2 linked regions of the Oryctolagus cuniculus genome follow. The protein of the gene in region 1 purifies or fractionates together with the protein of each later gene. This does not show direct contact. Links are inferred from orthologs where the notes say so. Each region holds a gene or a part of one and is shown on either strand. Other genes may lie near its edges.

Region 1 (3,749 bases):
GGGAGCTGGGAGCTTCCTCTGGGTCTCCCACGCGGGTGCAGGGGCCCAAGCACCTGGGCCATCTTCTCCTGCTTTCCCAGGCCACAGCAGGGAGCTGGATGGGAAGTGGGGCAGCCGGGACTCGAACCGGCGCCCATATAGGATGCCAGTGTTTCAGGTGGCGGCTTTACCCACTGCGCCACAGCGCCGGCCCCAGAGGGAGCACAAGGCCCTGCAGCAGGAGGGAGCCCGGGGGTGGGCAGGGGCAGGGCGGGGAGGGTGACAGGCGCGAGACGGGGCCTCGGGGCCCACTGCAGAGATCTCGGTTCCCCGCTAAGCAGGATACGCCTCTGGGGCTTGGCGCTGGGATCTGGGGTTCAGCGACAATCACGCAGCCAGCTCCTCTTCCTCCCAGCATCGGAGACGGAGTCCCCGGTACGGCCTTCCCCGGGGTCGGGAACGGACGGCGCAAAAAAAAAAAAAAAAAAAAAAAATTCACCAAGGTGAGAATAAATAAATGTTTAGTTAAACGCCTAGAAAACATCGTGCTAAGAACTCTGCTCGGGGTGGAATTCGGATGCACCATAACACATTTGGAAATACGATCGCCTAGGCCCTGGCCCCGCAGCCGTCCGGTCCCTGACTGGGCGGGAGCGGGACCCGAACCGCCACTCCCCAGGCCGGGACTCCGCGTCCGCTCACCGCAGACCCCCCAGGCCGCGCACGGCCTCAGCAGCCGGAGCCCCCGGCCCGAAACGCCCACCTGCACACACGCACCGGCATCCCCGCCGCGCCTCCTCCACCGCGCCGGCCCCCGACTTCCGCTCCTCTCCCGCGAATCCTCAGACACGCCTTCCTCTGCTCCCGCCCCCACAGCCACCTCAGCCAATTAGGTCTCCAAAAGCCTGCTTTATCCCCGCCCCACTCCTGCCTGCCAATCACGGCGGCCGCGAGTACCCGCCCTTCCCACGCTCTTAAGCGAGCGCCGCGCGCCACCGCTCGGCCGTTGGCGGTGCTGCTCCCTCAAGGATGCGTCTCTCGGAAAAGCTGCGAGAAGGGGCGGGCCCCGCCTGTGCGGGAACCCTCAGGATTGGCCGAGAGCCGGGCTCTGACTCCGCCCATCCCCGCCCCCGCCATCCGAGTCGGAGACGCTGGGGATTGGTTCCCCGCGGCCACCCCGCGAGAAGCCCACAGCTGGTCCCGCCTCCCTCGCGCGCGTGCGGAGAGGGAGCTCCGCGGATTGGTTTGAGGAGTCCGGGCGCGCGCCAGCGGCGCTCGCGGATTGGCTGACGGGGCGCTCGCGCCGCCGCGGAGCGTTTGCGGTGATTGGCTAGAGGGCGGAGCCGGCGATTTGAAGGCGGCGCGCGGACGCGGTGCGCGTTGCAGTCCGCGGCGAGAGGAGGCGGGAGCGGCCGCCGGTGACGCTGCCCCTCTGCCCGCTCCCCCGACCCCGGCTCCCGGCGACACGATGGCCAAGGTGTCCGTGCTGAACGTGTCGGTGCTGGAGAACCCGAGCCCTTTCCACAGCCCCTTCCGGTTCGAGATCAGCTTCGAGTGCAGTGAGGCCCTGGCGGACGGTGAGGCTGGACCCGTGCGGAGACCCCCACCCCAGCCCTGGGCCGACCCTGACCCCGACCTCCCCGTGGAGAGCCGCCCCGTGGCCAGGCCGAAGCCCCCCGGGGCCCCCTCCCTCCGTCCGCTTAGCCCCCCCCGCTCCCCCATCGCCCCCTCCCAAACCCCAGGACCCCCCTCTCTTGCAATGGCGCTCCTCCCAGGCACCGCTTCCTAATGATAGAGGCGCATCCACCGGCGGAGACCCCCACGCCCCCTGCCTCTTCCCCACCCCTGCCGCCCTCCTCGCCCCCGTGTCCGCCCCAGCCGTGCCCTGCCCAGTGTTTAAATGACCGCGTCCGGGGGTCATTGCGACCCCCGGGGTGGCGGTGGAGGGGCGTCCCGGCTCCCGAGGCTTCCCGGTCCGACCGTGGGCCTGGGTGGGCGGTGGGCGCGCCCCGGACCGGCTTCCCGCGGCTTCCCTATCCCGACGCCGTCCGGTGGGCGGTGGGCGCGCCCGGGGCCCGCGGCGGGGTGGTGGTCGTGGCGCACGGGAGGGCACAGCAGCCACCCGGAGCCCCGGGCCCTGCGCACGCCGGGGTCAGCCGGGGCCAAGGCCTGCGTGCACCCAGCGCTCAGCTCCAGGGCGGAGCCGGGGAGGCCGCTGGGTGGCAGGGGGGTGGCCCGCGGGGCGGCCGCCGCCTGTGGCTGACTGTGGAGTAAGCCGGCTGGAGGCTCTCTGGGACACGCAGGGCGGAAATAAAAGTGTAAGCTGGCGGGGGTTGAGACTCGCTTTAAAGGCCGGCAGGAGAGGCGAGGGGCCCCTCGTCTGAGTTCCCAGGTGACGCGGGTGGGGTGCCGTAGGCCTGCTTTAAAAGCAGGCGCTATCTGAGAAGTGGGTGCCTGCGACGCCCCGGGCCCTGCGGCCCAGGAGCCAAGCCCCCGCCTTGACCCCCTGCGCGTCCCGGGCGGGGGGCGGGGCGTCGCTGGGGCCGTGATGTCTGGGGACAGGAGCCTGGGCAACCCTGGTGTGGGGCGCCTCTGAGTTCCTTCTTCCTCTCCCAGCCCCCAGTCGGGGGCCCCCTGACTCCCAGGGGCCGCACGGAGTACATCAGGGGTGCGTGTGCTTGCGGGGAGCGGGGGAGCCCCTCAGGGAGCTGAAACAGCAGGCGCCCCGCGAGGCCAAGGCCACGGGCAGTACGGCTCGAAGACTGCGGCTCCGGACCGCCTGGTCACCGGATCGCAGCGCCGCTTCGGCTGGAGTCCTGGACGCGCAGCTTCCGACCCAGCTTCCTGCTGCTGCGCGCTGTTGTGCGCCCCTGCCGCCCACGCGGGAGACCCACGGGGAGTTCCAGGCGCCTGGCTGTGGCCTGGCCCACCTCCAGCTGTTGGCATTTGGGGAGTGGACCAGCGGGTAGAAGATCCTGCTCTTTCTGCCCCCCACCCCCCCATCGCCTGCCTTTGTCTCTCTCCTCTGTCACTCCCAGATAAATACAAATGGGAAACAGATTCTTCAACGACAATGATTTCTTGTTTAAATATTTGTTTCATTATTTATTTGAAAAGTAGAGTTACAGAGAGAGAGATAGGTCTTCTGTCCATTGGTTCACTCCCCAGATGGCTGCAACGGCTGGAGCTTCACAGATCCAAAGCCAGGAGCCAGGAGCTCCATCCAGGTCTCCCACTCAGGTGCCGGGGCCCAAGCACTTGGGCCATCTTCCACTGCTTTCCCAGGCCATAGCATAGAGCTGGATCGGAAGTGGAACAGCCGGGACTCGAACTTGCACCCATATGGGATGCCGGCACTGCAGACCCGGGCTTTAACCCACTGTGCCACAGCACCGGCCATCACTTTCTTAACGTGTGTTTAATCATAGCATTGGCTTTGCATTTGTTGTCATACGGAGTAGAGGTGTATCCTGTGCGGGGTTCAGCCTGTAAAATTGGGGATCAGAACAAAATGTAATTGACGTGCCTTTAATCGTGTTCAGAAGTTAGATAGACTGTGTGTATACAGTTATGTCCTGTATTTGGTAGGTATTTTTTTAAGAACTTATTTTATTTGAAAGGCAGAGCTACAGAGAGATCTTCCATCTGCTGGTTCACTCCCCAGATGACCACACGGCCAAGGTTGAGCCAGGCCAAAGCCAGGAGCTCCATCCAGGTCTCCCACGTGGGTGCAAGGGCCCAAACCCTTGGCCATCCGCTGCTGCTATCCC
Region 2 (3,649 bases), on another chromosome or scaffold:
TTATTGAGCAGCTCATGAATGGTTTTGCTTCATGAGGTGTTGGTCAAAGTATATAATACTTCATTAAGACAGGAGGAATAAATTTAAGGGGGTCTTTGCACATTTTGATGATTAAAATTAATAATAATTTACTATGTATATGAAATTTTCTAAGAAATTTCCTGATTGAGCCATTCCACATATGTGGAGTGATTTCCAAGCAGAATGCTATATATCACAAATACATACAGTATTTACCTTTCAATTAAAAATTTTTTATAAAAGTTTTAGCAAGTTTAAGAATTAACTGGAGTGATGTATAGCATAAAGCAGTGGATATATTCAATTTTAATGAATATCAGTTTTCTAAATAATAGCTTAAATATTGTAAATTTGTATTTATAGTGAAGTTGTTTTAAGCGCTTATAACTTCACTATAAACTTAAAACTGTACTAAGACATTTTGGGATGTCTTTTGCATCACAACACAAATACACGTATATTTCTTTGTCAGGTAAAACCTAGTTTTATATTTGCATGCAAAGGTATTTATAATGGAGATAATAAAATAACTTTATTTCATCTAGACTGATCTCACAATGCTGAAATTAGCAGCATTAGAAAGTAATAAAAACCAGGACCTGGAAAAGAAGGAAGGTCGTATAGATGATTTGCTCAGGGTAAGTAAGAAGTTGTGGGGCAGGCGTTTGCATGATGATTAAGATGCCCCTTGGAATACCCATATCCTATATCCAAGTGATGGGTTCTAGCCCCGGCTCCACATTCAATTCCAGCTTTCTGCTAATGAGCGCCCTGGGAGTCATCAGGCAATGACTTGAAGTGCTTGGGGCCTTCTACCCATGTGGATCTGGCTCCTGCTTTATGTCTGGCTCAGCTCTGGCTGTTGTAAGCATTTGGGAATGACCCAGAGGTCTCTCTGTGTCTGTCAGCTTTCTCCTTGTCTGTCAATTAAATTAATTAATTAACTTAAAAGAAGTAGAGGAGAAAAGTTGAGAGTAAATTATTTGACAGCAATCTTAAAAATACATAGCATTGTAAAAAAAATTGATAGATAAAAAAATTTAACTTTTTCTGGTAGTATAAGTACATGATTGGAAGTACCAACTTCAAAATGGAAGTATTTCAGCAGTGTGCATATGCAGTGGGTTAAGCTACCACTACTAGCAAATGCCTGCATGCATATTGGGGTGCGGTTAGAGTACTGACTGCTCTACTTGCAATCCAGCTTCCTACTAAAATACCTGGAAGGCAGTGGATAATGGCCCAAGTTCTTGGGTTCTTGCCACACACTTGGGAAACCTGAATGGAGTTCCTGGCTCTTGACTTCAGTCTGGCCCAGACCTGGATAGGCATCTTACGGTGTCATCCACAAGTTTAATGGAGAAAATGTCTTTTTAGTTACAAGAGATATAAAACTCACATTTATTTTTAGTGTTAGACACATTGTATGCCATTTTAGTTCTTTTTAATGAAGTATGAGCTAGGTGGTATTAACACCATTTAGAGGGGCCAGCACCATGGCACAGTAGGTTAATCCTCCGCCTGCAGCGTTGGCATCCTATATGGGCACCGGTTCTAGTCCCAACTGCTCCTCTTCCAATCCAGCTCTCTGCTGTGGCCTGGGAAAGCGGTGCAAGATGGCCCGAGCACTTGGACCCCTGCACCCTCATGGGAGACCAGGAGGAAGCTCCTGGCTCCTGGCTTCGGATAGGCGCAGCTCCGGCTGTTGCAGCCATTTGGGGCGTGAACCAACAGAAGACCTTTCTCTCTGTCTCTCCCTCTCACTGTCTGTAACTCTACCTCTCAAATAAATAAAAAAGAAAAACAAAAAGTAAACACCATTTAGAAATTTAAAAACCAAACTTAGGTCCAGGTTAATTTACTTAACCTAGCCAACCTTGTATACCTTAGCAAGGGTGGGCAACCTTTTTCCTGCCAAGAGCCATTTAGATATTTATAACATCATTTGCGGGCCATACAGAATTATCAGCTTTAAAATTAGCCTGCTGTATAGATGTATTAAATTTCAATACTTGTCTGTAGTTGCCTTGGCCAGGCCAGACCAAATGATTTCGCTGGGCCTTCTCCAGCCCTGTCTTAGAGTGTGGATTATGGTTACAGAGTCCACATACTTTCTGTTATACTGTTAAGTAGCATTATAGCATGGTAAGTAGGCTTTTTTTGTTGTTGTTTAGTATCATACTCAGATGTTTAATCCTATCCCTATTTAATGTATTCAGAATATTAAAGATATTCCTAAGTTTTTCATATATTTAAATTCTAGTGTTTTCTACTTATGTTGTAGGCTAACTGTGATCTCAGACGGCAAATAGATGAACAACAAAAATTACTTGAAAAATACAAAGAACGATTAAATAAGTGTATATCAATGAGCAAGAAACTTCTTATTGAAAAGGTAGGTTAAAAGTTCAGTAAATTTTCTTTCACAGCCACTTATGCCTTGTATGCTTTTAAAATGTAAATGAATAAATCTGAGTTATGATTTTGTCTTTTTTCAGAGTACACAAGAAAAACTGTCAAGCAGAGAGAAGAGTATGCAAGATAGATTACGCCTTGGACACTTTACCACAGTTAGACATGGCGCCTCATTTACTGAACAATGGACAGATGGTTTTGCATTTCAGAATCTTGTGAAGTTAGTCATTCTTATTTTTAAAAATTTTTAGCATATGACTTTTCATTACTTTGAAAGATTATGGATTTAGAATTATGTTCTACATCTCCTTACTGGCATTTGGAATCACAGATTTCTTAGATTTGAAAGGAATAGGAAACAGATATATTACAATTTAGCATTAGCAACCTTCTTGATAAATTAGCATTCACCTAGTTAAATATTGATATTCTGTGTTTACCTGTTCTTTGTTGTTAGTAAGGAAAAGAACTCCTCCCCCCACGACTTTTTTATTTTTAAGGAGTGTTTTAAGTTTGTTTGAAAGACAGATAACATCTGTCCACTGGTTCGCTTCCCAAATGACTGTAACAGCTAGGTCTGAGCCAGGTCAAAGCCAACAGCCAGAAACTCCATCTGCCACATGTGTAGCAGGGACCCAAGCACTTGGGCCGTCATTCACTGCAGTGTTCCCAGGCACATTAGCAAGAAGCTGGATTGGAAGTAGAGCAGCTAGGATTTGAATTGGCACTATGATGTGGGATATTAACTTCCCAAGCAGCAGCTTGACCCACTTCCCTGTAACACCGGCCTCAGAAGTTTTTCCCTTTTGCCTCAAATGCAGTACTTTTAAGTCATGAGCTGAATATGTGGTGTTAGTGTTTCTTTAAAACAAAGGGATCGTTGTTACTATATTCTCTTGAGTTTGATGGTAGCAGGTAAGGATAGGTTGGTTATGTGTAAAAACTTATGTGTAAAGAGCATCTATGCTGTTCCTTTTTGTGCTGGAAAACTTAGAGAAACCCAGAAGGAAAACTAGTGCCAGCATTTGTATCAATTTTTCCAGAGTTGGAAAACCGAGCCAAAGCCTTTGTTTTACGTGATATCACATCAGCTTTGCTGGTGACTGGTTTCTGGGTGTTGCTGCAGGCTGATCTCCCTGAGCAGACTGATTCAGCACCGCTGATCAGGTGTTAGGCATGCCGCGTGAAGGGCAGCACCCTTGTGATGCTAGTG

What was found. The genes of interacting proteins can lie anywhere in the genome.
Region 2: the proteins of ASF1B (region 1) and TLK1 purify together in Homo sapiens (co-immunoprecipitation; 3 studies listed by BioGRID and IntAct, counting the BioPlex papers as one, with this or other methods). This does not show direct contact. The link is inferred for Oryctolagus cuniculus from reciprocal best matches to the Homo sapiens genes ASF1B and TLK1.

What each region holds. Positions count from the first base shown.
Region 1 is NC_091447.1:62,994,545-62,998,293, reverse strand, and holds the start of ASF1B (histone chaperone ASF1B), read left to right. Parts: upstream 1-1,334; 5' UTR 1,335-1,447; coding exon 1,448-1,556; intron 1,557-3,749. UniProt on the Homo sapiens protein: Histone chaperone that facilitates histone deposition and histone exchange and removal during nucleosome assembly and disassembly. Cooperates with chromatin assembly factor 1 (CAF-1) to promote replication-dependent chromatin assembly.
Region 2 is NC_091434.1:70,090,702-70,094,350, forward strand, and holds part of TLK1 (serine/threonine-protein kinase tousled-like 1), read left to right. Parts: intron 1-566; coding exon 567-659; intron 660-2,305; coding exon 2,306-2,416; intron 2,417-2,519; coding exon 2,520-2,656; intron 2,657-3,649. UniProt on the Homo sapiens protein: Rapidly and transiently inhibited by phosphorylation following the generation of DNA double-stranded breaks during S-phase. This is cell cycle checkpoint and ATM-pathway dependent and appears to regulate processes involved in chromatin assembly.